Arabidopsis thaliana: one gene and its partners. The protein of the gene in region 1 interacts with the protein of each later gene in a pairwise test. Each region holds a gene or a part of one and is shown in the gene's direction. Other genes may lie near its edges. The genes, in order: AT1G11940, AT3G42725, UMAMIT8 and BASS2.

Evidence for each region.
Region 2: the proteins of AT1G11940 (region 1) and AT3G42725 interact in a protein complementation assay, tested with the Arabidopsis thaliana proteins (one large-scale study listed by BioGRID).
Region 3: the proteins of AT1G11940 (region 1) and UMAMIT8 interact in a protein complementation assay, tested with the Arabidopsis thaliana proteins (one large-scale study listed by BioGRID).
Region 4: the proteins of AT1G11940 (region 1) and BASS2 interact in a protein complementation assay, tested with the Arabidopsis thaliana proteins (one large-scale study listed by BioGRID).

Annotation. Positions count from the first base shown.
Region 1 is NC_003070.9:4,029,406-4,037,369, reverse strand, and holds AT1G11940 (Core-2/I-branching beta-1,6-N-acetylglucosaminyltransferase family protein), read left to right. Parts: upstream 1-3,214; 5' UTR 3,215-3,423; coding exon 3,424-3,711; intron 3,712-3,793; coding exon 3,794-3,910; intron 3,911-3,985; coding exon 3,986-4,086; intron 4,087-4,210; coding exon 4,211-4,282; intron 4,283-4,412; coding exon 4,413-4,494; intron 4,495-4,641; coding exon 4,642-4,722; intron 4,723-4,822; coding exon 4,823-4,864; coding exon of another isoform or gene 4,865-4,900; exon of another isoform or gene 4,901-5,055; coding exon 5,056-5,112; intron 5,113-5,203; coding exon 5,204-5,350; intron 5,351-5,437; coding exon 5,438-5,602; 3' UTR 5,603-5,836; downstream 5,837-7,964. Other genes in the region: AT1G11950 (Transcription factor jumonji (jmjC) domain-containing protein), read left to right, coding at 104-236, 313-376, 462-1,158, 1,237-1,566, 1,647-1,928, 2,004-2,076, 2,159-2,244, 2,325-2,444 and 1 more; AT1G11930 (Putative pyridoxal phosphate-dependent enzyme, YBL036C type), read right to left, coding at 7,072-7,149, 7,231-7,329, 7,419-7,552, 7,655-7,742.
Region 2 is NC_003074.8:14,840,218-14,846,568, reverse strand, and holds AT3G42725 (Putative membrane lipoprotein), read left to right. Parts: upstream 1-2,850; 5' UTR 2,851-2,878; coding exon 2,879-3,487; 3' UTR 3,488-3,720; downstream 3,721-6,351. Other genes in the region: AT3G42723 (ATP binding / aminoacyl-tRNA ligase/ nucleotide binding protein), read left to right, coding at 5,380-5,547, 5,701-5,825, 5,915-6,351.
Region 3 is NC_003075.7:9,355,835-9,363,380, reverse strand, and holds UMAMIT8 (nodulin MtN21 /EamA-like transporter family protein), read left to right. Parts: upstream 1-3,141; 5' UTR 3,142-3,509; coding exon 3,510-3,700; intron 3,701-3,801; coding exon 3,802-3,867; intron 3,868-3,909; exon of another isoform or gene 3,910-4,009; coding exon 4,010-4,126; intron 4,127-4,221; coding exon 4,222-4,456; intron 4,457-4,559; coding exon 4,560-4,724; coding exon of another isoform or gene 4,725-4,769; exon of another isoform or gene 4,770-4,792; coding exon 4,793-4,944; intron 4,945-5,042; coding exon 5,043-5,196; 3' UTR 5,197-5,475; downstream 5,476-7,546. Other genes in the region: AT4G16630 (DEA(D/H)-box RNA helicase family protein), read left to right, coding at 49-91, 172-273, 357-449, 558-677, 801-1,096, 1,190-1,205.
Region 4 is NC_003071.7:11,473,062-11,481,971, reverse strand, and holds BASS2 (Sodium Bile acid symporter family), read left to right. Parts: upstream 1-3,829; 5' UTR 3,830-4,101; coding exon 4,102-4,204; intron 4,205-4,277; coding exon 4,278-4,380; intron 4,381-4,450; coding exon 4,451-4,568; intron 4,569-4,661; coding exon 4,662-4,703; intron 4,704-4,785; coding exon 4,786-4,899; intron 4,900-4,981; coding exon 4,982-5,044; intron 5,045-5,462; coding exon 5,463-5,590; intron 5,591-5,680; coding exon 5,681-5,762; intron 5,763-5,994; coding exon 5,995-6,046; intron 6,047-6,133; coding exon 6,134-6,231; intron 6,232-6,321; coding exon 6,322-6,480; intron 6,481-6,571; coding exon 6,572-6,661; intron 6,662-6,738; coding exon 6,739-6,816; 3' UTR 6,817-7,220; downstream 7,221-8,910. Other genes in the region: ABCG32 (pleiotropic drug resistance 4), read right to left, coding at 75-349; GRV2 (DNAJ heat shock N-terminal domain-containing protein), read left to right, coding at 8,131-8,568.

The DNA of each region.
Region 1 (7,964 bases):
TTGCATTCTTAACAAAATATGTGGTGGTTGTTTATATAGATCAAGAACCGCAAGTTCGATTTTTGTTTTGGTGTGAATAGAGATGTATCTATTTGTCTTGCAGACATCTAAGAGAAAGCTCGATAAATACGAAAGATTTTATCATCTTCGCTTCTTGATTGTGGCGATGCTTCCTTTCCTGAAAAAGTTATGCAAAGCACAAGATCAAGAAATCGAAACCGAGGCTAAGGTTCAAGGTATATATGGTTCTCCCTTTTACTACTAAGACAAGATTTTTTCTTGCTACAAGATAACATATTGATATGTTTATAGATTCAATGGCTTCTCAAGTTGATATATCCGAGAGTCTATGCTCAAATGAAGAGCGTGTCTTCTGGTAAGTATCATCCTTTTGTTGCATGTGTTTGAAGAGTTACATGACATCTATCTTATATATCACTGAAATGTCTTTGTTGCTCTAGTAACCACTGTGCAACATCAATTGTTGACTTGCATCGAAGCTGTCCAAAGTGTTCATATGAATTGTGTCTGAACTGTTGCCAAGAGATCCGTGGAGGTTGGCTTTCTGACCGCCCGGAATGTCAGCTACAATTCGAGTACAGAGGGACCCGGTATATACATGGCGAAGCTGCAGAACCGAGCTCTTCTTCTGTTTCCGAGGATGAAACTAAAACTCCATCCATCAAGTGGAATGCTGATGAAAATGGAAGCATACGGTGTGCGCCAAAAGAGCTAGGAGGTTGCGGGGACTCTGTGCTGGAGCTTAAGCGAATCTTACCAGTGACTTGGATGTCAGATTTGGAGCAAAAGGCAGAAACATTCTTAGCCTCTTATAGTATCAAACCGCCAATGTCATATTGTAGATGTTCTTCTGATATGAGTAGTATGAAGAGGAAGGCAGCTTCGAGGGACGGATCTAGTGACAATTACCTTTATTCTCCTGATTCTTTGGATGTCCTGAAGCAAGAAGAACTTCTGCATTTCCAAGAGCATTGGTCCAAAGGTGAACCAGTGATTGTTCGAAATGCTCTTAACAACACAGCTGGTTTAAGCTGGGAGCCAATGGTGATGTGGCGGGCTTTATGTGAGAATGTTGATTCAGCAATTAGCTCTAATATGTCTGATGTCAAAGCTATCGATTGTTTAGCTAATTGTGAGGTAGAAACTCATTTTCTTATAAAGTTTCTATAGCTGTATAAGAGGTTATAAAGCTCATTTTGTTTCTTGTTATTTCAGGTGAAGATAAATACTCTATGTTTCTTTGAAGGATATAGCAAAGGAAGAACATATGAAAACTTCTGGCCTGAGATGCTGAAGCTGAAGGATTGGCCTCCTTCAGACAAGTTTGAAAACCTTTTACCTCGTCACTGCGATGAGTTCATTTCCGCATTACCATTTCAAGAATACAGCGATCCTAGATCAGGAATTCTCAACATTGCTACAAAACTTCCTGAAGGACTTCTTAAACCAGATCTTGGTCCAAAAACTTATGTTGCATATGGGACTTCAGATGAGCTCGGTAGAGGAGATTCAGTCACTAAGCTTCACTGTGATATGTCAGATGCTGTAAGTTTCAGAATTGTTACTTAGTACTGTTAAATAATAATACGGTTTCTCAGGTGTATAACGGTTTTTTGTTTTTGTAGGTTAATATTCTGATGCATACTGCTGAAGTAACACTAAGTGAGGAGCAAAGGTCTGCAATTGCAGATTTGAAACAGAAACATAAGCAACAGAATGAGAAAGAGCTTCAGGAGCAAAATGGTTTAGAGGAAGAAGAGGTTGTGAGTGATGAGATTGTGGTTTATGATGAAACAAGTGGTGCACTTTGGGACATCTTTAAAAGAGAAGATGTTCCTAAGCTTGAAGAGTATCTAAGGAAGCATTGCATAGAATTCAGACATACTTATTGCTCTCGTGTTACAAAGGTAAGAAATAATCCACAAAACGTTTTCAGTTCCGAGTCTTAGAGGTTATTGTGCTGATAGGATTCTTTATGTTAGGTGTATCATCCAATACATGATCAGTCATATTTCTTAACCGTGGAGCATAAAAGAAAACTCAAGGCAGAATTTGGTATGGTTACTTGTAACTGTAGTAACTGTCACTTACCGACATTGTATTCTTACGTTTTTGTGTTTGTTTGTTTGAACTAAAGGGATTGAGCCATGGACATTTGTGCAAAAGCTAGGAGAAGCAGTGTTTATTCCAGCAGGTTGTCCTCATCAAGTTCGGAATCTCAAGGTTATTATTTGAATGGAAGCTGTCCTATTAACTAAACTTTTTCTCATTATCTTTAACTTGTATTATGGATTTTGATACAGTCGTGCACAAAGGTAGCTGTTGATTTTGTTTCCCCTGAAAACATCGATGAGTGTCTCCGTTTGACTGATGAGTTTCGACAACTCCCTAAGAACCATAAAGCCAGAGAAGACAAACTTGAGGTGATTCTTTTTCTGATATTTTCAATTTTGGATTAGCAACTTCTGTCAATGGATACAGTTTTGTTTGTAGTTGAATCTTGTTTTAATCTTTGCCATGTGAACAGATAAAAAAGATGGTGATCTATGCAGTTGAACAAGCTCTGAAAGAAGTGGAGACATTATTGCTAGATCGCAGCTAAAAGCTCTATAGCTTTGTTGTTGTAGGATTAACAGCAGATTTTGTAGAATTGTTAAAGCCATGGCTATTGTAGTTGGCTTTTGCTGTGATATATGTATGTAAAAGAGACAAGTGTCTCTTGAAAAGAATGATTTCCTTTTTTTCAAATGGGATTTTGATGTAACTTTTCCTTTTCCGGTCTGTTTTGGCATATGAATGAATATTTGATGTAAGCTTCTTTTGTATAGTTTTGTATCTTTACATCATTTTGAGAGCAAATGAAAGTTTATGATATGAGAGCATCATAGATTCATAGTAGCAAATACAATTGGTTCAGTTGTTGCTTGCAAATTTTTACTGCAGTAAATATGGATTGTTTTGTTTTCAAAGGTTTTAAAATGACTTAATACATTAATTTCCAAAGGTTTTGTTTTAAGGTATTTTTTTTTTTTTTCTAATTGTATAGAAGGAAATACAATAATTAATATTCCTAGTCAAATTGTATAATTTTCATACCATTTTCTGACAATTTCAATTTCGGACAACAATTTAATGATGTTCTAATTTAACGTGGGTCCCAACTAACTTAAAACGTGTACGTGGCTTACGACGTCGTTTACAAGTTTATACGTCGAACTATCAACATCATTCTACCTTTCTTTCTCTCTTTCTCTCAAAATCCAAAATGTTGTAATTTGCAATTCTTCAGTTTCCGTTTCTCTCCTGAGAAATTTATTGACTTCAAAAACCCTAAAAAGACTTGTGATTGTTCGTTTCTCTAACTCGAATGTTGATCGTACGACGGTGAGTGATCGTAGTACAATGACGAAGAAATCACAGCCGCAGATTCCGCCTCCATTGTCCCGTCGCGGCGGCGTCGTGTGGCTGGGATGGAAACTCGTAATCGCTTTCTCCGTCGCGCTTTGCCTTCTTGCTCTTCTTCGAATCCAACTACAGTACAATTCCTTCACGACATTGTCGTTTCCACTCTCCGTCGCGAGATCTCAGACACCGCTTCACAAATACTCCGGTGATCGTCCCAAGCTCGCTTTCCTTTTCTTAGCTCGCCGTGATCTCCCACTTGATTTTATGTGGGATAGATTCTTCAAGGTCAAAAAAGATTCTTAGTCCTATTAATACTTGTCCGTTATTCTAAATTTCGAAAAAATTGCTGATTCTGGTGATTTTGCAGGGAGTGGATCATGCGAATTTCTCAATTTATATACATTCAGTACCTGGTTTCGTGTTCAATGAAGAAACTACACGATCACAGTATTTCTATAATCGCCAATTGAACAATAGCATTAAGGTGAGTGTTCATGAGAATTTCTCCATTTGATGTTTTTTTATAGTGAAACTTAGGGTGGTGTTGTTATGGTTATAGGTAGTATGGGGAGAATCAAGCATGATTGAAGCAGAAAGATTGTTGCTTGCATCTGCTTTAGAGGATCACTCCAATCAAAGATTTGTTCTTCTCTCTGACAGGTTTGCTTCTTTCAGCATTACTCTTTCAGATCATCTTATGCCTGACCACTTATTGCATCTGACTTTGAGCACATTTGTGGTTTGTACGGACTTATTTCATTTTCATCTACTTTCTGTTTTGCAGATGTGCTCCATTATATGACTTTGGCTATATATACAAATATCTTATCTCTTCACCGAGGAGTTTTGTGGATAGGTAGATTGAAAGTCTGAATTTATGAGGTTTCTTAGTACTTCATACTTGATATATATGGCCTGATAACTGGTGTATTATAAGAGGAGTTGTCTAGATGTTGATAACTATGTTTGTTGCTCTCTATTGGCAGTTTTCTTCATACTAAAGAGACACGGTACAGTGTGAAAATGTCTCCTGTCATACCTGAAGAGAAATGGCGAAAAGGATCCCAGGTATCTTCATTTTCTTGCTTAGGAAATGAACATTGCTACCAAGATTTTTGAAGCCTGAGTTTCTTGTGAAAATTTAAGCATTAGGAGGATAGGGACCTTTTAAAGTTCATGAAGTTTTTAATCTCATCTTAGTTTTATCTATTGCAGTGGATAGCTTTGATCAGAAGTCATGCAGAGGTCATTGTAAATGATGGTATCGTATTCCCAGTTTTTAAGGAATTCTGCAAGGTAAAGATTAAGCTTTATGATCATGACTTTAATTTCAATCTTGATTCTTTGTTGCTGAAGAAACAATAACTTACTTCTTGATTTCTCTTTCGATTTGCAGAGATGTCCACCTTTAGGTACCAATGAGGCATGGTTGTTTCTTGTAAGTGCTATTTCAAAGTTGGTATTTTTCATTTAATACCAGCCTGAATGTTTATGTTGATTCTTTGTGTTGGTTTCAAAACAATCTCAACAGTGTCTTTTCTGTAGTCTATGAATACTTCTCTCCATTGATTAACCTCTTTCTTTATTAAACAAATGGGGAAACTTTTATTACGTTTGATGTGAACTCAGAAACAGAAGCGACGCAACTGCATCCCCGATGAACACTATGTGCAAACATTGCTTACGGTGACCATCATATCTGATACACATCTCTCTCATTTTTGTTTCCATCTAAAAAGTTCCATATTGTTAATGTATTACAAACTGACCATTTCAGATGCAAGGACTAGAGAGTGAAATGGAACGAAGAACAGTGACATACACTGTATGGAACGTTTCAGGTACAAAATATGAAGCCAAATCTTGGCATCCCGTCACTTTCACATTGGAAAACTCCGGCCCTGAGGAAATAAAAGAAATAAAGGTACAATCTTTTTGTTCAGAGGATTAATATCACAACCGAATGAATCCCTAAGTAATCTCTCTAGTTCTTTTGCTTTTCTCGGGACAGAAAATAGACCATGTCTATTACGAGTCTGAATCTCGAACGGAATGGTGTAAGGCGGATTCGAAACCCGTCCCATGCTTTCTCTTTGCAAGGAAGTTCACGAATGAAGCTGCTATGCGCATTGTGAGTGAAGGACTAATAGGATCATCAGCAAACAAAACCTTATAACTTTGCAACAGTGTAAGCAAGTAGGTCAAGCAACAGAGCGTATACATAGAGTAGGAATAGCATTGATACATTACAAACATCCCTCATGAGGTTTAATGGTTTATGATTATATATGACGCTTAGTAAAAACTAATAATCATTCTTCATGGATAATCTTGTGTTTGGGTGTTAAAATTTCTATGTGTATATGTCTGAAGAAACTGGCTTCGATTAATAGAATATGTTAATAGCAAATTCTACTCTGGATTGATGTCTTTTACTCATTCTCCTGGAAATTGTTAAAAAAAAACTAAAATTTTCAAGGACTCGAACACACAATAATGAAGTACATAAACACTTAACCAAAACAAACTTTTTAAACAAGTGACCTTACATTTTTCTTTATAGTTGGTAGCGTAAAGCACATGTTTTGGTTGCTTTATGGGCGGACTGGGCCTAGTTCGTCGGAATTCTAAGCTTCTTTTGCAAATCTGATGATTCCATAGAAATGAGTCAAACGACGAGCCGTTGGACGGTAGTTGAGCTCAATTGGGCCACATTTTTTGAAAAAATTTGTTCACTAAAATTAGCTTAAAAAAAACATTTTTTTAATTGGGCTACAACAATGCAATTATTCCAAATCCATAGTATTGGCATTGTCATTTTTATAAAAATCTCTCTGAATCTTTTAAGTTCAAAAATCTTAACCATTAAAAAAATTCCCAACCGACTCGAGCTAAGCCTAGCAATCATAAAAAAAGGAAAACTTCCATTAACGAAAACTTCTCATCAGAAACTCAACTCCTCCTCCTCCTCCTGCAATCTTCTTGTTTTCTCTTTAGGCTTTTATTTTCATTTGGGCTTAAAACCCATTATCCTCTCACACTAAATATTTTTAGAAAACAAAAATGCTCATACTTATTTAAAAGGAATTTTGTATATAAATGAGTGATTGTGATTAATTTTGAGATGTATGGTAATTTTTTTTTATAATATATATGGTAACTTAATGGTAACCATATAGTTAAATGCAGAGTCCAATAAAAATGATCACCTTGGGTCTGAAAAATTGAAATGATGAGAAGCTCAGTTTGAAGTTTGAACTTTGAAGCATCTGTACTATGTAGTGGATTTTGCTTTCAGTGTTTCATAACACAAAAGAAGTATTAAAATCTTAGTTAGCAGAGCTCTCAAACCAAAAGAATAGTAACAAGTGGTTGTGACACCCTTTTAACTACTTCTCACTAGTAACGTAGCAAAGACAAGATTCTTTATTCTTCTTTCATGTGTTTATATCCATGAAATTAGAAAAATAGTAATAATGTACCTTGGTTACAACTTACAAGCAACATCACCAAATACAATGCAAAACAAAAGAAGAGAGAAGATCTACATGATTTCAACATTAAAACCTAAGCTCTTATTCTTCCCTGAAACTGGTTTTGATGTTCAAACTTAGAATCAATCTCATCACTCAGTAGTTTACATCATTACTTCTTAGGATACTCTCTCGCCCCGAAAATAGTAGATCCTATTCTCACATTTGTGCTTCCCAGTTCAATCTGCAACTCACCAAACCGTAAAGAAAACTCTTTAACATTTTGAACAGAAAGAATTTTTCACTCGAATCAACAATCACAACAACTTACTGCTAGTTCAAAGTCACCAGACATCCCCATAGATAGCTCACATTGCTCCTCCGGTATTCCAAGCTCCTTACACACTTCACTTCTGCATTTCGCAAGCAACTACACTTACAATAAGAAACGAAAGTGAGCTCTTTTAAGCATCTCACGATATTACCAAACATTATAGGTTCAAACCAGATTATATAAACCTTGAAATTCTCTGGGGTTGAAGTGTAATCAGCCATCCCTATTGTCATCAAACCAGAAAACTCAAGATTCGAGCAAGCTTCCTTCACGTGTTTCGCCAGTCCTACGCATCCCGAGGGTTCCACGCCGAATTTAGCTGAAAGTTTTGGTGAATACGATCATGTAAGATAGCTTTAAGAAAAGTGAAAGTGGGAAAACATTTGAGATAAATGTTGAAGAAGAAATTCCAGATTCTTACAGTCTTCACCACTGGTATTCACTTGGACAAATACCTTCAAGGGCTTTCTTCCGATATTACCAACCACACGATCAAGCATATTTGCAATCTATAAAGCATATGCAAATAAACAAAACCGGTGGACTGTCACACGTATATTCCTCAAGTGGTTTGATCACTTATCAAACTCTCAATCCATCTTTAATATCACTACCCACAAAAGTTCAACAATAGAGTCCACTATCTGGATAATTGTAGTATTCTTACCCAAAGATCATGATGTTTTCGTTATCTAACACCTCGAAAGAGCTCTAGAACATTTAACAAACCA
Region 2 (6,351 bases), on another chromosome or scaffold:
ATGTACATTTACTTATTATGTACGTACATACACAATTTAACACACCTCATCAGCAGCCTCACACTCCAAAAAACGAGATGTCCGGATTGCCCGCAGTGAGGCAAGACGATGGATAGACCTCTCAGCAAATGTCCTGTTAGGTACATCATCAGGTCCTAGCTTAGCAATTGATGGGATTGTTTCGAAAGCTAAAAGATGGAGAGCTAATGGGAAGCCATGTAGTGCATAAGACCCTACCAGTAAACCCCTTATTAGTTGTTGAGCATCGTAAGGAGTTTGGAATTTTGCTATCCTCCCCAAAGTACGGGTAAAGGACACCCTTCCCCATGGGTATTTGCAGAAGAACTCCAGGTTCTTCGTCATCTCGACAGTCTTCGAAGTAGCCCTGTTGGGGTTACTGTGGGCCGCTACCACACCGTCTACCAAAATAATAAGAGATAGTGCCAGTTGCTTCCACCCCTCCATGCTTTCCTCCTCCTGCAGCCAGCTCACCAAATCAGCAATTGTTGGAACCGTGTCCCCAAACCTCTCATCGAACAGAGTCTTCCAAACACTCTCACACTCAGGTTTCACACTGATAACATCCTCCACGTCTTTCTTCTTGGGATACTTCCCACATTCCAGCCCAGTTAGGATACTAAATTCTCTTAATCCAAATCTGATTGGATGACCACCGAATACAATCCACATCTCATTCACCTTCTTTGTCACTAACTGACAGCATATTAGTCCAAGGACAAGCTTAGCATTGAAAGATGCCTTGTTTTTGGGTATTTTAAAAAGTTCCCCAAATGGAGAATCGAGAAGAAACTGCATCTCTGGTTTCCCCTTTAGTACATTTGCTATGTTAGAAATGTACTCCGGTTTAGAGTACGCGTTCATCTTTGTCTCGGAAGGGTACCGGTCTATAGCAAAGAGTCTTGGTGGTAACTCTTCAACTGTAAGATCTTCAATCGGAGCAACACTTGGACTACCTGCAATTAAACGTGATATATTGTTAAGCAAACCGAAGTAGTGTACGTACACAGACATTTTCCAGATTATAACTCAAAATCATATTTTTGGCGGAAACAGAGATTTCCAATTCTACTTCTCAATTTTTCATCCTAAAGATATGCTAAATTCCGACTAGTTCTAACCCTTTAATCAAACAAGCTTTACAATTCTGATACACCCAAAGAAAACAAACGGTAAATTAGAGATTCTAACCCAGTTCCTCCGTTGCCTTTGTCGCAGAGCGTTTTCTCTGCGGGGAAACTCTTAATACCCGCTTCTCCTTCCCTGGACCATGCTGCTTCCTCGGGACTTCTTCGTTTGCTTTATTCCCAGCCATAGCTAAAGTTGCTATCTCGCCGGAGGTTCAAATTTCGTCGGAATAAACAGTAACTTTTTCTTGGCTTCGCCGGGAAAAACAGTAACTTTCTCTTCCCCGGATGTGGGAGTTCAGTGACTCAATTCAACTACCCAACAATTCGAAGTTATGTCGAATTTTGAAACAATGGATACTGAATTTCGTTTCGCTTTCTAATTCTCTCTCAAATCTCTCCGTTACTCTCTTCTCTTTTTCTTTTTCTTCGGTTTCTTCGTTTCAGTTTTTTTGTTTTGTCTTTTTCAAAACTGAACCGCATCAACTAAACCGAAACCAACTGCTGTAGGGTTTGGTTTATGCCATCAACTGAACCGATACGAACTGCTGCACGGTTTGGTTTGTGCCATTATTAAGTTTTCCCAAGGTAATTTGGTCCGAAATTGAATGAAAAGACAAACCGTAAAAACCAGTTCTCACTTTGACAAACGGTGAGAGCAAATCTTTTTTCGTCCACTTCTGTAAATTTTTTTTTAATGGTTAGTTTGCTTTTAATATTAAAATATTAAATATATTGGTTTTGAGACACTAAAAAAATAATTATGCAATGAGAATGCTCTAATGGTCTAATCTATGGTTTTCCGTTGATTAATACAAACCTTATTTTTTATTACTTGTGTCAAATTTCACCGTCCTATTTTTGGTGTCTTCAAACATCTTTGTTTTATGTTTACCTTTTTTGTTTTAATTATATTATTAAAGATTGTGTCTTGGTTTGAAGGAAAGAAAAATCTTTAGATGCATATTCTATTGTTTTTAAGCTCTTAATTTTTTATTAGAGTTTCAATTGGCTTAACTACAGTGACAAATAAAAGAATTAATGATCGATTGTGTTTCGACGATGATTTTTTTACCGAAATATATACCCAACGACCAAGGTTGATCTTGGAAATCGTACGATTACTCATCGAACACATGTTGTTTTGCACGCAGTTGTTGACACGTGGGTTTGGATGGAGTCAAGACACAATTTCTTTTGCAGTTAAACAGTAATCTTATAAGCTCATATTGTACCTCAATATTTTTATAATCTTTTTTGGGATTTTTGGTATAGTCTATGTATATGTAAATAAAATATTAAAATATTGCAATTGAGAAAGAAGAAAAATTTAAATATTTTAGATGCTTAAAAAATACAATTGACATAAAAGAGTATTTTATGGACAACATGAAATATATCAAAAATAATAATCCTTTTCAAATTTCTATTCGAGTAGCAATTTAGTTTTAGGTCTTTGAGAAGAAAAGAAAAAAAAAAGCAATTTAGTTTCAGGCATTTATGTAAACAATAATGATAAAATAGTATTACTAATTCAAATATATACGACCGTCATTTTCGTGAGGCTAAAGGTCAAAAATCTATTACAATACTTTTGTGAAGCCCATTATGTCAATATAACCGTTAAACCTCATCATAGCCGTTACATCTTCTCCCCAACGGGCGCTTAGTTTCTTACTTTACCTATATAAAACTTGAAACAAACAAAAAAAACATAATTTCACAAAACATCAATGGCTTCTTTTCACAGAAAGTTATGTTTGTTCCAAAACATTCTCGTATCGTGTCTGAATTTCACTCTCCTCCTCCTCTCCCTCTGTTCTTTCGTACCAATCATTCTTCTTAGAAACCCTCCAACTTCACTCGGTTTAGCCTTCCTCGCAGTCTCACTCGTCTCTCTGATCTCCTCTTTCGGTAGTGCCTCTTCGCACCAATCTCGATCATGTTTCATCGCGCGGATAACGCTTCATGTTTCCTCACTGACGGGTCAGTTTATTGCAGTTTTAATGTTGTTTAGTAGAGAGAAACAGAGTCTTTCTTTGCTGATATCGACTCGAGACCCTAGAGAGGCTAAAGCTTTGGTTAGAGTAGAATGTGGTGTTTTCGTGGCGATGATTCCGTTACAGATAATGGTTCTAGTGCTGGCTTGTTTGTTACATTGTTATTGGGTTAGAGAGTTCGAAGGGTTAGATGTTGAGAGTGAAGATTCTTTTAGAAGAAAATGTAACCGAAGAGTCTCGACCGCTGAAGATGGGACTAGTTCGGATTTAAAGAAAATGGAGTTGGACGAGAAGATGAATGTGAAACATGTTCAGTGGGTTAAAACAGATTTCGAAGGTTAAAGTGTTTTTATGAATCTATAGTTTGTGATTATTGTTCAAACTTCAAAGTTATATTTTATGTCTTAGTTAAGAAAATTATTTATTTGCTGTTACAAAACTTTGTTAGGTTTTCTACAATGTTGTAAGTAATATGTATGGCTACTTGAATTGTCCTAGTAATGGTTGATCTTGTATTTTTTTCTCTCGTACATCCACCATTAGTGGGTAATTTACATACATACACTAGTACAAAGATGCATGTATTTATTTTGCATTCTTTCATAACCATAAGAAAGATGTCTTAATATCATCATACTACGATCCATTAGCTGTTCCTAAGATCTCAGAGATTCAAAGCAAATTATTCGGCTCAACGATCAAACACATCCTAATGTAAAAAGAAGAAGAACCAAAAACAACCTAATCCAAAAGGGAAAAGCACCAAAAACCTAACTAGAAACTCTTTAAGACTGGACTCGGGTTTTGGAAACCTCTACGGTTGTATGTGATACCGTATCTCGTATCAATATCTTGACCTTGGGTGAGGTGGTGGCAAGCTTCAACAGGTTCTTCAATATCTTGAGCTTGGGTGAAGCGGTGGCAAGCTTCAACAGATTCTTCAATATCTTGAGCTTGGGTGAAGCGGTGGCAAGTTCCAATAGATCCTTTGTGAGTTGCACCTTTTGGGGGTCATCCATTGGAGATGACAACTTTCACAACTTCAAGACACTCCATTTCCAGTAAGAAATGGCTAATCTGTTTCAGCACGTGTGCACTTCCTTGATAATGCATGATACTCAATATCTTTACTTGGTTATTTGTGGGAATATGAATCCCCACAAACCGATTTCTTTTAAATATGTAACGATGCAGACCCTGAAACATCAAGAAGAGACACTACTTTAATGTAATGCCAGTCATATTATTAAGTAAGATTTCTTAAGGGTTTGCTTCGTACCGAGAGAACCAGAGTTTTAGGTTTGGAGAACGCTCAGCATAAGTGGCAGAAGCTTCCTAAAACATTTTTTTTAACACGAAAACAATAACTCAAGGAGGTTGTTGACAACAGGTAGTCCACCTTTGCAGCATACTAAAATCACCTGAAATATACACACAAAGAATATTTTTCTTGTTTATAGGCAAAAGATGATGAGAGCATACACTAAAACTGACCTCGACAGCAGAAGAAGTCAGGTGCAGGGTCTTGACGTTGCGTATCCCGCTGATGAGATTCCACATCCCCGTAAACCAGCAGCCCATTTGATTTTTTTGCGAAAGTAATGTCCAGTGTAACTTTGGCAAGTGAATCCAAATTACAATGCAGAGACCCCGGCAGAGTATAATCAGAGTAGTGGAGGTCGACAACGCTCAGTGTGTCAAGTGTAATAATCCAAGAATACGCGGCATAATTATGTTGATATTAGACAACAGACTGCTGGATATGACTTGTGGTGTTTTTGAATGATACCTCTGATGTTAAGTCCTCAAGTGCAGAGCAAGCAGCGAGAACCTTTAGCGCTGGGAGAGATATATCGAAAGGAAAGCTTGACATGCAACATTCTCTTCCCAATGACAACTTAACGAGTGTTGTATTGGTGAAGATTTTAGATGGGAGATCAAGGTACCTGATAGATTATGATTTGGGCCTAATGGGCTGTCGTTTATGGCTTATTGTTTAAAGCCTATTTTCTTTAGTTCTTCTATTTAACATTAGCTTTTGTTTCTGAAACACTTATCGATTATGAACAAAGAAAAGTTTATCTTCTTCATCTCATCTCTTCTTCTTCCTTTCCTTCTCTGAATCTTCTGCTTCCCATCTCTAATTCTTCTACTATCTCATCTCCTTTCTATTACTTAACTTGATAGCCCATTTTGGGTCTTATCAATTGGTGCTTTCATTGAGAGTTGAAATCATGGCTACTCAAGCTGCTCAAGCCATCACAGTCACAGATCTTGAAGCAATACTTGATCGATTCGTTGAGAAGTTAGAAGAGAAGCTCGATTCCGTCGTCCAAAGGCTCCAAGCACAACAAGAGGAGTATCGACGAGGCATCCGTGAAATATTTGCAAAGTTTTTCCCGGTGATACAAGTGACGAACCACCTAAGATGAAGAACCAAGAGCATCACGAGCTCCATCAAGTCATCACCACGAGAGCTGAAGCAAACCCAACAAAAAACCCAGACATCTCTCTTGAGAATTCTGTCGAACACTTGGTGGGCACTGAATTTCTAGAAGCTTCTCCCAATCCTTGGGTCTCAGAGCTTCCAACGGCGATGCATTCTCGCAGGGGAAGAAGAACCCATGTTACACAAGCTCGCAGGAGAGGATTTATTTTTGTTAATCAGAGCCATCATAAGGTTAGAGAAAAGACAACATGAAAGAGACGTCTCATGATCGATCCCTCAACACAAATCAACAAACAATCCATTAAGAAACTTGGTAAAAGACCTCGCTCTTCCTGGCTTGACTCGACAGTGCCATTTCCACGGTTGTTAGTGGCTAGACAAGAAAGTCACAGAAGGTCTTTCTCTGGTTACTATGGATCTGATTCCCAAGAATCTAGTGATGGTGTTGTTTCTAGAAGGAAATCATGGGAACGTAAACGATACCGAGAAAGCAAGGATGGTGACATTAGGTCAAGTGAACAAAGTGCCAGAAATGGGTCATTGTTTTGGACCAACTCGAAGAAAGCATGGGAGCAAGTCGGATTAGATTCTCAGGAAAAGAATGATAATGCTGCTGATAGTATAAGAGTATTATACATTGGATTTCAAGGAACAGCTCCTCAAGTCGCTATGGAGGTGGAACATGATATTATTAGCAGAGACGCTGCTTGGAAGGGTCAGAAAAAACAGTCACAAGTAGCTATGGTTGGAAGGGAAA
Region 3 (7,546 bases), on another chromosome or scaffold:
TTGGTTGATCTGTATACTTAAGCTTTGAGGTGTTTTCATCAATTTCAGGGATGAGCGAGCTCTAAGGAAAGCTGAAATGGAATTTGCAAAGGTAGGCAGCTTTGGTTCTTGTCTTTGTTCAATTATTGTGGGAATAATTTCAAATTCGTGATTATGGGCTTGTTTCTGCAGGCGGAGAACATGCTTGAGCACAGAGATGAAATATATGCACGCCCAAAAAGGACTTGGTTCATGACAGAGAAGGAGAAGAAGCTCGTGGCACAGGCTGAAAAGGTGTTCTTTTAATTTCCTGAGGTTGTTGTTGTAGAGAGAGGGATACACTTGTCTGAATCATTCTTTATACTTTCTCTGAATAGGATTCTGCAGGGAACCCTGCTGGAGGCGAACTAGTTAGTGCTGATAGAGCAGAGGACCTCAAGATGAAGGAGAAGAGAAAACGTGAACGCGAGGTCTGTTTATCAAGAAGCTCTTCACTATTCAGTTGCATTATCGTTCTAGTTTAGTGTTGATTGCTTCTTCCTAGAGAACTTACAATTCTCTTGACCATGCAAGTACAGAAGAATCTTCCTAGGAAAAAACGTAGAAAGCTAGAAGCTGCCAGAGAGATGCTAGAAGATAACGAAGGAGAAGAAGAGGAAGAAGACGAAGAAGGAGACGAAAAGAGAGGAAGATCAAGAGTAAGTATTTCAGAGATACACATCACTCTCTCTCTCTCTCTCTCTCTCTCTCTCTCTCTCTCTCTCTCTCTCTCGCCGGGATGACAAACATTGTATTGATTTTAAATGTGTGTTTTTTTTCAGGGGAAAGACAAGAAAAAACAGGAGACAGATAAGAAGGGATTGACACTAAAGGATCTTGGTTACATGAGAGCAAAAGCGGTGAAAGCAAAACAGAGAGCAATTGATTCCGGTAAGATGGAGAGACCAAAGCCGGACAAGAAACAAAGCCGGAGTAAACCAAGAAACCAGCCTCGTGGTGAAGAGATGAAAGATCTGTTCAAGAGTGATATGGGCGAGAAGAAACAGGGCAGAGGCGGTGCCGCGGCTGCAGCAAAACCTCGGACGAAGTCGAAGAACTCATTCAAGAGCAAAGCCAGGTAAGAAACATTTCATCATAAACATGAAATTTACCAGTAACATAAATTGTAATTTGTTGGTTTAACTCGGTATTTTCTACTTTTATCGTGCAGATATAAGCGTAGGTAAAAGGAAAAAGCATTTTTGAGAAGATATCGAAGGACAATCCCACGAGAAGAAGGACATTTCATTGAGAAGGGTTTAAACAATTTAAATTATTGTTGTAATATCATAATTTAGAACAAAACTGGTTAAGATGTTCGAAATTTTGTTTTCTTTGTCCTATGGTTTTTATAATCTTTCATAAAGCTTTACCATGATTATTCGTAGTATGAAGAAGCAAAAAGTGGTTTAAAAAAAAATTAAAAAAAAAAAGAAGAGGTAAAAAGTCACGTGAGTTGGCGACGGTTGTAGTTGTAGACGCGTGGGCACGTGAGAAGACTATGTATGTTCACAGACTTCAGAACTTGAGACTGTAACCTTTTGTCTGTTCGTACGTGGCACAACTCATTAGTCATTAGAATGTTTTGAACCGGTTTAGGAGCTAATATGAGTTTCTGCATATTCAAGATGCCTTTTATTTCACACCAAGGGGTTTTGATACTAGTTAGGGTCTATAAAACTAAGTCTTAAGTGTTTTGAGCGTGAACTTTTCTTTTTTTTGGTCAGCGTGAAATGTTTCTAAGCTTTTAAACGCATTAAATTTTCATGATATGGATAACAGATGTTACAAAAGAAAAAAATGTATGTGGATAAAGATTAAACTCTTAACTTAATATATTTAGATAGATCGCATATTATATTTGTTGGGAAAAAAAGAGGGGGAGAAAAGAGAGACGATAACACGCTTCACAAGTCATTGGAAAAGAGACTGAGGATTGTTGACGTGTAAGCATCCCCACTTTTGCTCTTTTCTTTCTTACACTCCTCATTTTTTCTTATCTTACGCTTCACCTACCATATTTTACACTCCACACAACATCTCCAATATTATACATCTCCAATTAAAAATCTTTCATAGGCACATCATTTATTATAAAATAACTAATTCGTTATAGACTCTAGTCTAGTTTTCTAGTTAAAACTGATCCCTAGAAAATATTTTGATCATAAAACTATTTCGGTGTGAAAACGAATCACTAAACCATCCTTTGGTGTTTTGGGTTAAATAACTAAAACATTTCGGTATGAAAACAGATCACTAAACCATCTCATTAGCATTAACAAGGATATTAGAATAGGAAGCTTTTTTTACCAATAAAAATGATTATAGGTAGGTAGGCACATGGCATACACATATGATTTATCTGTGAGACTGTGACAAATACAAATATGAAGACATTCCATATTTGCATGCAAGAAAAAAAGAAGGAAGTAAAGAGTGAACAGATAGTCAGATACGTAAAACGAATAAAGGAGAAGATGGTAAGATGTCGTATTATATATCCAAAAATAAGAATACAAACAAAAGAAGAACACTGATAAATATTTTTGTTACTCCCCCGAGAAAAGGCCAAGGTCCCCGAATCTGACGGAGTTTATTGCATCTGTCTTTTTTTCCTTCTTCTCCTTTCTTTTTGGTTTATCTTTCTTTTTCATACTCTGCATGTTTTTAAACTTCACTGTAGTACAGAATTTCATCTTTAACATAAATTTGTGTGAGGGCGATTTATGATCGATCATTCCACCTTTTTTTAAATGACTTTACTGACAAAATAAACATATTATTCTTTAGTCTTAAATAAATAGAATCTTGTTTTATAATTTTGCTATTTTTATTACGTTATTTTACCAATCAAAACTATGGTTTTATATTCCAAATTTTATTAATATAGTGGCAACTTCCCAAATAAAAATCTTGACAATTTGAATAATCTTAAATTTTTGCCTAGCCGATTTGGCGAATTTTATTTATTTATTTATTTGTTCTATTTAAGAAATATCAGACTCACCGAAATATTTATTTCTTAACAAATTAAGCTAACCGCTCTCAAATTTTTGTTTTGTCTTATTTCATACATATTAAATCCATTGCACCAAAATTTGAGGACTCTATGTGTTATAAAAATAATCACCGTTTTAGACTAAAAATAAATTAAAATCTGCGCTTCCCCAAAAAGCTATAATGGCGAGACACTCCATAATAAAACCAATGCAATGTAATGGACACATGTCTTTAAAAGCAAGAAGTGAAAGATAGAGAAAGTTTCAACTTCAAGCATTACACATTACCAAAAAGAGAGATCACAAACAAAGCATCTTTTCTATTTTCATTTATCAACAACAACAAAACCAAAAACTTAATTAGTGTTTCTCTGCTTTTTTAGTTCCCCCACAAAATCGAATCCTTCTGTTCGGTTACCAAATGGGTTCCAACTGATTTGTCCGTTATTATTCTTTTTATTTTCTTCGTGTTTTTTTTGTGTTGAAAAAATGATGAAGAGAGAGACGTTAATAGAAGCAGGAATAATCGGAGGATTGGCCGGAGCTCAGGTGATTTACGCCGGAAACTCGGAGCTACTGAGTCAGTTGCTGTCTCTCGGAATTGACCCACTTCTTATCGTTATCTTATGCACCTTTGCATCAGTTCTTCTCATCACCCCTCTCGCTTTTCTCCTTGAAAGGTATCTTCTTCTTTCTTTTAATTTACAAAATCTCTGTTTCGAACTTTATTCTACATTCTTTTTCTAATAAAAATTTGGATTTTTGTGGTGTGTATTTGTAGGAAGCTTTGGCCTAGAAGTCTAAGTTTCAAGTTGAAGATAAAACTAGTTTTGGTTGCTCTTGCTGGGTAAAAACTCCTCTTTTTATTTATTTCTGCATGTTTTGATTAATAGATGCTTACCTTGCTTCTTCTATACGTTAAAGAGAAGGAGAAGAATTAAAAATTCATAACAAGGGATTAATTAAGAGAGAAGTTGTGTTTGAAACAGAGTGACTCTGTTCCAGGGGTTATTCTTGGAAGGAATGAAACACACCTCTGCTTCAATGGCTACAGCTATGCCTAATCTCTGCCCTGCTTTCATTTTTGTCATTGCTTGGGCTGCTGGGTAAATCTTTTACTTTTGTGTTAATCTAATCTGTTTAGTGTTTGAAGATTAGAGCTTTCATTAATGTGTTATTTGAATAAATTGTAATTGTTAAGGATGGAGAAAGTGAAGCTAAGTTGTATGTATAGTAGAGTTAAGATGGGAGGGACAGTGTTGTGTGTGATGGGAGCTCTCATTATGAGCTTAATGCACAGTACTACCGCTACTTTAAGCTCGGTTAAGACTATACCTATTGTCCCTGACGAAGTCGTTGTGGACAAGGACAAGATCTTAGGTTGCCTCTATCTCCTCCTTGCCATTTGCGGCTTGTCCTCTAGTATTGTCCTTCAGGTTTCACCTTATACCCCTTCTTAGCCCTAGAGCTATCATATATCCGGTTGTGCTAATTAATCTGATTCTTTGCTTGTGAAATCACTTTGATCGTCCTAATTAGGCATCCATACTAGCCGAGTTTCCGGCGCCTATATCAATGTTCTCGATGGTATCTTTGATGGGTGGGATCACCACAGTAGCTTTGCAGTATGCTCTTAAGGGAAGTATGGAAATGGGAAGTGCATCAGTAATCGGTCTCGGCCACCTTGTGGGATACGCAATACTGGTACGTCATAAATCATATATGGTTGGCAACATTTGGATGTGTTGAAAATGTTTTTGTTTTTTTTCTAGGGAGGGTTGGTGAGTGGAGGAGGGTTAAGCTTCAATGCATGGGTGATTAAGAGGAAAGGACCAGTGATTGTGTCTCTCTTTAGTCCAATTGCAACTGTGGTATGTGTTGTTGTCTCTGCTTTTACCATGGAAGAGAGTTTCAACCTAGGAAGGTACATTTTTGCAGCTTTTCGCATTCATTGTATGATCTTTTAGACAGAAAGAGAAGTCATTTATCTTCTTTCTTGTTTGTTTTTCTCTGTCAAATTAGCTTTGCGGGAATGGCGTTGATGTTCGGAGGACTCTACTTCGTTCTGTGGGCTAAAGGAAAAGAGGATTGTGAAGAAATAGATGAAATGAAACAAGATGATGAAGAAAGTTTGCTTAGAACAGAGTTTGATCTTCAGAAGCCTCTCTTGCTTTAGTTCAAAGTCTTTTTTTTTTCTTCTTCTTAATGTTCTTGTGAATTTAGTTTAGGTTTAAAGAAGTAAGACAATTTTACTTTACAGATAATTCGGTTAGATATACATGTAGTAGGCTGTAGACTACAGTATATGTTCGTGTGTGATACTAAAATAGTTGGATATAAAAAAAACATCACATACATACAGGGCGAAGAAAAAGGGCCTAAACGATGTTATGTAAAAAGTTGTTCAATGTGAAGGTATATTTATATATAAATAAAAATTACCGTTGAGTTAGAAGATGAAGATAAACCTACCTAATATGAGAATGCGAATGGAACTAAGCAAATACACGCCAAAGACTGTTTTCCTATTCCCAAAGAAAAGCTGAGCCAGAGTATAAGTCAGGTGTGGAGATGGAGTTAGATAATGACAAACAAGGTAGAAACAAAAAAACGCAAGTCAGGGTATTTATAGAATTGTCATTACATAGCAGATGACCAAGCAGGTTAGTGTCCGCTATATCGGAAAGCTTCAAGAGAACGGGAAGATCTTCGATTCCACCATTGGAAAAGCACCTTTTAATACTTATGTGATATGGCAATTAAGGGATGGAGTTATGTGATTGGTACGTGATACTTATGAAGTTGTTGTTACATGCAGGTCATGGTAAAGTCATTAAGGGATGGGATGTTGGCTTAAATGGTAACTTAGTTTCGTCCTCCTAAAGGTTTTCATCACTTTGTTTCAAATGGTGTATTGCTCTCAAGTTTTAAAAATTTCACAGGCATGTGTGTTGGGGACAAAAGAAGGATTACAATTCCTCCATCAATGTCGATATCTTCTTCTCTTTCTCCATGCGCTTGATGGATACCTTCAATATCTTCTCTACATAAAATCTTGGCGAACGACTATAATTGTACTTCGTTGTAGATATCATGCATACGTGCTTCCATTAATCTGCAAATTTGCTAATAAATCGCAGTAGCTGGAACTGGAACATTAGACTTCTGGATGTAAAAGCATTAATGAACTTTTGGTCAACCATTAGACCAAGAGGTTTCCACGATTTCTTTCTTATAGTCAATTAATATATTTATTTGGATGAAAAGTTAACTAATATTAAACACTGAACAGAGATTTTTTTGTTTGCATCTGAAGAGTTACGTAGTTACTGAAAATTGAGATTGAAGCAAAGCTAAGTAGTTAACACGATAGATTCCATTGTGTAAGCCTCTTCTTTACTCAACTATGTATTAAAGTTCCAACAACTCAAATTCAAATCCTTGCTGGTAATGTTAACATATGTATTCTTTGTCACCTTTTCAATAAAACCATGATTACCAAAGGTATATTATCAATTTAATGGATTCTTGACTACTGCTACGTCTGTGTGACTATGCAACATCTTTCATACACTTTATCAAAGAAATAACATTTTTAATACATGGTATTTTCCTCTGTTAAAAAAGTATTAGTTTTTTTTTATTAGTAGTCATATTTACTGTTTTGACATCCACATGTTTTGTATGAACCAAAACAAGAACTGTTACTATAGTTAATACGACAAATAATTATGTAACTTCTAATTGCTTAGAAAGTATAAACCAACTTGTTTTGGATAACCAAAACACATAAGTAAGTTTTTCGAATCGGAGAAGCTATCACATTTATTAGTATCATCTGTATTATTGGTAATTAAATCAGAATACTATACTATCATTGAACCAATGGTAATCATTTTATAGTTCTTATCATTAACCCATTACGTAGAAATTAAAGTAAAACTAAATAGAGATTTAAGTATGAATGTCAAGTTTGTTGAACTTGCAATCATAAACAAAATTCAGTCCCGGTTCGAAAATTCAAAACATTAAGACACTTATCACACTCGCAAACAATTACATTTTTTTAAAAACTTTTTTGTCTTTTTCTTTCATTTGAAATGAGACTATAACAGCAATGAGTATAATCTCTCTGCTGCAAACAAAATAATGACAGCCAAGAGTTCTCAATTCAGCTAAACAAAGTGGAACCGAATGCAAAACATGTTGAAGTCATGTAAAACATATACTTCTCTATTTTTAAAATAAATTTTTCTTTAAGAAAAAAACTAAATAACCAAACCGGAAATTTGGATTTATGGTGGTCTAGTGGTTCAACTTACTTGGACCTTTCCAATCATCATTGTGTAGTCATTCACTTATGTGTCGACACCATCGTATGTTAAAGGATACCAACCTAAGTACAATTATATAAATGTTATGATTATATGTTGTTTAGTTTTTATTGTTCAAACACTCGAACCACTAATAAAAACTCATGAGTATCAAGTTATTTAAACGTTTAACCGTTAAAAATGACATTTCAG
Region 4 (8,910 bases), on another chromosome or scaffold:
AAAAAAATTCACTCAATTCAACCAAAACTGAATGATTTTGAACTAAAATTGTAAGAGAGAATTGAGAGATTTACGCGTCGAATCTCTTCCTAACACGAGCGAAGAACTGTTCAGGATCATTTTCAACGGAATTCACAAGACGGTCGAGAAGAAGACGTTGTTCGCTAGCTTCTAGGTTACCAATTTGGATCTCTTTAGGCTCACCAACCATATCTCTGAAAATCCCGCGGCGGATTCGTGAATAAGTTGGAAGACGTTGTAAAGCTGCCCAACGAAGCTCTTCTTCGTCTTCGATTTCGTCTTTAAACGACGTCGAACGCGAGAATGCGTTCTCCGCCGAGTTCCACATTCTCCGCGGCGGCGCAACAGAATCAGAGAGAGATGATAATTGGAGAAGATGAGGGAAGAGATTGCAGTGTAGATTTGGTTTTGGTTTGTTCTCCCTCTATCTCTTGTTCTGTGTCGTCGTCGTCGTCACATTAATCTCTCACCACTAGACAACTGGTAGGTGAAGCCACCATTAATGCGGAAACTTTTCTCTCTCTCTTTCTCTCTGTGTGTGTTTTTTTTTGTACGTTAAAGTGAAATAACAGTTGAGAAGAAGGGAGGCTCATTAATAATCACTTAGCGGGAAGAAACAAATTGTTTATTATTTAGGTCTATGTGGATATAATGCAAGAGATTATAGTCTGTTTTATGTGGATTACTAAAACCGAAATAACCGAATTAAGAGATACCGAACCGAACCAGATAATCATAAACATCCAAATAGTGTAGTTCATCTTTTATAACAACTTGGAACTAAACCGAAAACGGAATGAGTATTCGAACTACTTGAAATACAATTGTATGATTGTATCTCATAAAAGGAAATTATTTTTCTAATTGAAATTTCAAATTTATGGTTTATGTACAAGAAATTGGAACCAAACAAGATAATGAACTTTAAAGAATGATAAAAACAATTTAAGGAGATCAATATCTTAATATCAGAAAATATTAGTCAATGTCATAAAAATCAGAAAATGTTAATTATATTTATGTTTGAGATAATCCAAATATTCAAAACTATATTTATAAACCAGAAAATTTAGTTATGATTAGGCTCAAAATAACTAAAATATATGAATGTACATACTTATATGTGTCTAGAGTAAATATTTTTTGCAAACTAATTCATTAGATTGAACAAATTATTTAGTTCTTTTTTCCACATAGTTTATGTACAAATATTTAATTCAAACCGAACCCAATAAAATTTGGTTATATGTCGGTCCGAACTGAGAGATAACCGAACATAGTCAAACCGTAAAATAACTACCGATCCGAACCGCATGTTTTTTGGTTCTATATGAATTCTAAACCCCTTAAAACAATTTACTCAAAATCGATCTGAGCCAAGTCGATTATCGGATGTCCACGTTAGATTTTTCCAAAAGAAAAAGAGTAGAATAAAATAGTCATTCTCACAACTAATAAATACCTACAATTTACATACTTGTTTTGTATTATTATCTTTGACATGTGTAATGGGGACAGGTATAAATGGACCGTTAGATTAGAGGGATACTAGTCTATTATATACTGTACCTATTTTGATTAATTTATTGATTCTAGCAACATTCTACTTTCTTCTCACCGAATTTTTCCTTCTACTGTTTTTTAATTAATTATAGCAATGTTTTTTTTCGAACATTTCAAACATGTATTTAGAGTGACTTGTAATCTAGAAATATCAAGATGAGCTGGAATCTTTTGAGTCAATTTGGTCTGGTCTGGTTCTATCATTTTCATTTTAGGATTAGAATTTTCAACTCATGTATTAATGGAAGTATGAAGTCAATTCTAACATGTTTAGTGGTTATTGGTTAGAATAAATTATGCATCATTATTGGTCATAAAAGATAGATAAAGTTTTTAACGAATAATAACAAAATAATTAATAGAAATGGTAAAAAAAAATAACAGTATACAAGTAGATATTAGTCTCTCTCTCTCTTTTTTTTTGTCTTTCAACAAATTGTTATGTGATTACAAATAGTTTTTTCTTTTTGTTTTCAAGAAACAGAAAATAAAAAATAATGATATACGATGACGAAGTACGGGTCTGGCCTGTTTTGATCAAAATCAGATCTACTCTTTGTTAACATTAAGAGATTGATGACTAGCCATCGGATCCATTCTCTTTGGTTTCATGGCCGATCATAGCTGATCTATTTCTTTGAATTTTAAGCTAGCATTCTATTAATGCTTTTATTTCATTGGTCCTCTCTTGTTGTAATCTCCTTTCAAACTATGTAGATAATTTTTTGTTGAATAAAATTTAACATTCCAAATTTCCAACCAAAAATCTAATATCTTAAGGTCATTTTGTTTCCTCCCGAGACCTTTCTTCACTTTAGGAGGTATTGAGACTCAATTCATCAAGCATCTAATCTAACGAGACAAATGAAATAAAAGTTTGGTTGCGGGTTGATGACTTTTGAAAGATGTGACAGTCTTGTTCTTTTCCTAAAAACTAGGAGTGGATATATCGTAAAAGTGTCTTAAGATGCCAAAGCTGAGAGAGTGAGTGTTGAACAACCTGCGTTGAATCATTGTAGTTCAACTTGTTTATATCCAACAATATTCATAGAGAGACATAACCTTATGTCATTCCATTTAGTTTGTAGAAGTAGAGAAGATTCGAACATGCATCTTTAAATAAACGAAGAATGGGAATTTAAAGAGAATGCAAAGAAAGAAAAGTAGAGTAGAGGCCAAGAAACATAAACTAGATTATACATCTCTCGACGATTCTACTTATTATTTATCTCTTAAGAAATTTATGCATATCCCCCAACAAAACCAAAAACATAAGATTTTCAAATGTAAAAATGTCGATGAAACATACAAAATTTGGCAGTGAAAGAGTGAAAATCAGCTTCGTCGGCCAAAGATTTGTCTGTCGCCAACCAAAATATTAATATTAATGGTTACAAACAAAGTATGGGGGTTTCTTGGCTGGGGCATGGTGCTAATCATTATCCAGAAAATTCAAACAAACTGTCACAGAACTCAGCACTCACATTTAATGAAAACTTTGTATTTGTTCAGTCGAATAAATTAACGTGTAGTGTTTCAAAATGTGTTAAATCAATACTTCATCATGTGATTGTCTTGATTTTATGAGTTTATCTAACTAATAAAGCTATTTTCACAGTAAAAATAGAGGCAAATCATTTGGTGGAAATAGACCATATTTTCAGCATATTTCTACATCTTGATTGACTTTTCCAACATCAATAAATATGTTTTTGCAGCACAGTTTTCAAATATAGAATTTCTGTGGTATGAACCATAGTGAATATGTGCATCTTATCCATATATAAACTAAAATGTATAAAAATATACAATCTTGTTTAACAATACAATCAGACTGTAAACAAAAAAAATTCAATAGATATGATTGATTAATACATGTGAAACTTAGGCATACGACTTTTGAGCGAACCGAACCGTTCGGTTTGGATAATTGGTTTTTCGAGTATCTAGTTAGGAGATAAGACTGCCAAATTTAACCGAACAAAAATTCGGTTTGGATCGGTTCAGTTATCAGTTAACTCAGTTCGGTAATGTGTCTCAAATCCATACAAAAATTTGGTTTGTATAGCAATTTTAAAGAATTTTGGTATTAGTTTATAAAATTGGATATGATTTGTTTATATTAGTTTAAAAAATTAGAAAAAATGGTTAAAAGATTGTTCGATTAACCGTACCTAACCAATAGGAAAAGTTACCGATCGGACCACTTCTATTAATCGACTGGTTAACCGAACACTCAAATCTCAATTAGGTTCTGTTCGAAAACACATCGGAAATGACGACAGGAAAAAAAAAAAAAAACACACACACATCGACGTAGTTGTAGTAGAATCGATCCAAAAATGTTAAGTAGATATTTTCCAGATAGGATTGTTGATGAAAGGGGCAGATGAAGAATGTGTGGCTCTCCTCTCTTTCACAACACTCCACAAAACCCTTTGTCTCCTCCTCATTTGGAGATGTCACTAACTCATCTTCTCTGATTCACCAACATCCTAAAACCCTTTTGATCAAAACATGGCTTCCATTTCCAGAATCTTACCAACAGATGGCAGATTAAGTCAATGCAGAATCAACACCTCGTGGGTTCCTTCTACAACCAGAACTCAAACTCACTTAGGTATCTATCCTTTATACTTCTCTGGTTTCAGATTTCTAAGAGTCAATTTGCTGAATCATATATTTTTCTTCAGATTTTCCCAAGTTAGTTTCTGTTAGTAACTCTGGGATAAGTTTGAGGATTCAGAATAGTAAACCTATTAGCCCTGTCTTTGCTCTTGAAGCAACTTCCTCCAGGTATTGTAATTTGGTGAATGTGTAAACAAGTTTAAGGATTTGGGTTTATTAAAAATTGTAATTTTTACAGGAGGGTTGTTTGCAAAGCTGCTGCTGGTGTGTCAGGTGACTTACCTGAGAGTACTCCTAAGGAACTTAGTCAGTATGAGAAGATTATTGAGCTTTTGACAACCCTTTTTCCACTTTGGGTACTTATGCTATACCTTTCTTTGATGAAGTTTGAAACTTTTTGTGAGTTTGATAACTGATATGGAGCAATGTGGTTTTTGTTTGTTGTGCAGGTTATTTTGGGAACACTTGTTGGCATCTTCAAGCCATCCTTGGTATGCTTTTTATGCTTCTTTGTTATTGTTTATTTACTGTAGCAATCTATGTTTTTGGGGCTTATAGATTTAAGTTTTGTAGGTTACATGGTTGGAAACAGATCTCTTTACTCTAGGTCTTGGATTTCTTATGCTTTCCATGGGTTTGACTCTTACGTTTGAAGATTTCAGAAGATGTTTACGTAATCCATGGACGGTGAGAGCCAATGAACACTGGTGTGTTTTTTCTATCTGTTAGATACAGTACCTGTTTAACGTTTAGAGTCTTTCTCCTGCAGGTGGGTGTTGGTTTTCTTGCTCAATATATGATCAAGCCAATTCTAGGTTTTCTCATTGCAATGGTATGTTTCCACTAATGTCTATCACATTTACTTCTATTTGCTTCTCTGAAATGGATGCTTATGCAATATTCTATTTTGTTTAAGATATTGGTTCTCTTCGTCCGTTTTTACTTCTATGGGCTGTATACGCTTTAGCCAAATCAAATGTTGATTGGAATATTCTTTCTTTGATTAACTTAGATCCAAGAGTCGTTGCATGTCCAAACATCACTTTTTCTTGAAACGTTTGAATCAAATATTTGCTTTCTAGTTACTGTAGAAACAATTCCTGGCATACTCACTTACTCCTTGAGGGATTTCTCTTGTAGAGAGGATTGATATGGACATATGCTATGTGCATTTGGAAACACTACATTTGGTTAACATTAATTGTTGAGCAGCCAACTAATACAAACTTTTTCTGTGTGTTTTATTTTAGACTCTTAAGCTTTCGGCACCTCTTGCGACTGGCCTTATCCTAGTCTCATGCTGCCCTGGAGGACAGGCGTCAAACGTTGCTACTTACATTTCCAAGGGGAATGTAGCGCTCTCTGTACTCATGACAACGTAATCCTTCTATTTTCACTTCTTTCTCTTTTCGTTCTTTAATTTTATTGGTCAGATTTCATATACATTATCTGTTCTTTAATTTATTAGGTGTTCAACCATTGGGGCTATTATAATGACTCCTCTTCTTACTAAGCTTCTTGCTGGTCAGCTTGTTCCCGTTGACGCTGCTGTGAGTTTTCTCTATAACTATTTTGAATCGTTTCATTCAAAATTGCATTGATAAGATACATTTCTTTTTATGTATGAAATATAAGATACATTTCACTTAGCTAAAATATGAATAATCATGGTTCAGTAAAAGTTATTGAATGATTTAAAGTAGAATGAAGCGCAAGAACTCTATTAGAATATAGTTGCAGCCCTCCACAACGAAAGCTTATGGATCCATTTTTTTACGTCAGGGACTTGCTCTTAGTACGTTCCAAGTAGTGTTGGTTCCTACCATAATTGGAGGTAAGTATGGTGCTACGTGTTTCCGGAAAAATGAATTTGTGCTTATATATCCTTAGGGACTAATGTCTTTTTCTGCATTGTGTGCAGTTCTGGCAAATGAGTTCTTTCCTAAATTTACGTCTAAGATCATAACAGTGACGCCTCTAATCGGAGTCATTCTGACTACTCTGCTCTGTGCCAGCCCTGTAAGTTCATATATCCAGATATATATATTTTTTTTATTGAATTTTGAGACTGGAATTGGTATTGATTACTACCTTATCTCTTCTGAAAAGATTGGACAAGTTGCAGATGTTTTGAAAACCCAAGGAGCTCAACTTATACTCCCGGTGGCACTCCTTCATGCTGCAGCCTTTGCTATTGGCTATTGGATTTCAAAGTTTTCTTTCGGCGAGTCCACTTCGCGTACCATTTCTATAGAATGTGGAATGCAAGTAAGTTACTTTCTCCTATACCGTAGATATACATTGCCGTTTGCTTTACTAAGGCTTCTTTTTGAAAATCTGTGTACTTTGCAAACCGCAGAGTTCAGCGCTCGGGTTCTTGCTTGCACAAAAGCATTTCACAAACCCTCTAGTTGCTGTTCCTTCTGCAGTCAGTGTTGTCTGTATGGCGGTAAGTTTTCATAGCCATTTCACTAAAGTTCACATGCAAATTCCTTAAGTTTAATTATGTTCAATGGCATTCTGCAGCTTGGCGGGAGCGGCCTGGCCGTGTTCTGGAGAAACCTACCGATTCCGGCAGATGACAAGGATGACTTCAAAGAGTAAATGAAGTAGGAAAGGCGGTTTGCATCTTCTCCAAACGATGTGATTGTTTTGTTGTAATGTTAGTAAACATTACAAAATTTGTGTTGAAAAACATGAAACAAAATGTGTTTAAGAGACATAGAAACAAGGGCGTGCATGATGACAACTTTGTGGTCAACCTTTTTTTTATTTCTCAATTAATGGACAAATCTTTTTTGGCACACCTTCTCCAAATTTTGAATCTAAGTTTCAGATTGGGATTAGCGTTGTTCCCGGAATCCTGTCTACTCTCACAATGCACTCCCTCATTTCCAGCCATGACTTCTCTTAGCTCATATACGTCTTTTGTCAGCAATGATAAGTTTTGATGTTTTTAGCATTAGGTGGTTTTGGTGAATTTTCATTTTAAATTAGATTTGAGTGTTTCCTTTTCTGATGAAAACACAACTTCCAACAATTAACATAAGTAAACATGTAAAGTTGATTGGAATGTGGCCAGTTGATCTCGGTTTCAATAAGGTGAAGAGTCTCATTGTATTTTGGTCTTTACATGATTGGAATAGTACTATGCTTCTGGAGTTCTGGTCTCAGTGTATAAATGGTGGTAAAAAATGTTTTCAGTTTACAGTAAAAAATGTTTAGCTATATTTTAACATTTCTTTTACTGTAGAATGTTTCCCATATAGATTTTCTGTTTTTTTTTTAATTAGTAATATTTTTAGTTTTCATATTTTTTTAATATACGTGCTAATTCATTTGTTGAAAGAGCCAAAGAAATAGTAATCTAGACAATTATACATTTTGACACACGTTTAATCCGCGTTAAAGGAACAGAAGAATTGATGATGATTGCATTTGCACCGGAGAGACACCGAATCAAAAATGGCCTTTAGCCTTTAACCCTCTCAAACAAAGTCGTCACACTGTAAAAACAACAGCAACAACAACAACACACAAATTCACGACTCTTTCTCTCCCAATCTCAGATCGAAAATTTGCTTCATTTCCCTCTGATCATCATCATTCACCAAATTTCGTATTCAAGAACAAATCGATCGCATTCATCTTCTCCCCGAGGTTTCTTACATACGACTAAAATTAGGGTTTAAGCTTCCCATTTTGGATCCGATTGTTGCAAAAGGACCTTCTAGCCCCGGTGGCTTTTGCTATAACCAAGTCAAAGAACTGGGGGCGAATCAGTCCCACCCCCGCCATTATCCTGGCGTTTCCGATCATTCCAGGGTAGGATTCTGGGATTTTCTACGACCTCTTCTTAATAATCCTCCTCGAAACAACACGTTACAGTTTATCGATTCCGTTGGATCTGATCGGACTATGGATTCCGTCTCTAGAGGTGCCGTTGCTTCAACAACCGGCGGTGCTGTGGAAGAGCCGGAGTATCTAGCTAGGTATCTTGTTGTTAAACATTCATGGAGAGGTCGTTATAAGAGGATCCTTTGTATTTCGAGCGGCGGAATTGTTACGCTTGATCCTAATACTCTTGCTGTTACTAATTCTTATGATACTGGAAGTAATTTTGATGGTGCTTCACCTCTGGTTGGAAGAGATGAGAACACGGAGAGTGTTGGTGGTGAGTTTACTGTCAATGTTAGAACGGATGGGAAAGGGAAATTTAAGGCTATGAAGTTCTCTTCTAGGTGCAGAGCGAGTATTTTGACCGAGTTGTATCGGCTTAGATGGAATCAAATTAGACCTGTGGCTGAGTTTCAGGTGCTACATCTTAGGAGACGGAACGCAGAATGGGTTCCTTATGTAAGTAGTTTTCTTACAGTGGCTCCATCTTCAATCTTTTATGCATGGTTTCTCTGATAGTATGATACTGTTGCTTTGGTTTTGAGGTCAAGTCGGACTAGGCTTTTAGCTGCTCAACATATTTGAAGTTTCTGATCTTTAGATAGTTTTAGCCAGAGTCTGGTATTAGGCATTAAGCTGATGTTAGTATTTTTCGATGTTTGATGTGCTCTTAAATTTTTGTAATCATGAACTAAGCAGGGGGAGTTCTTTTTGTTTCGCATGAGTAGCCTTATTCTTATTTTCTATGGGATTGATTTTAATTTTTTTCAATTTTTGTTATTGCAAGAAGCAAGAGTCATT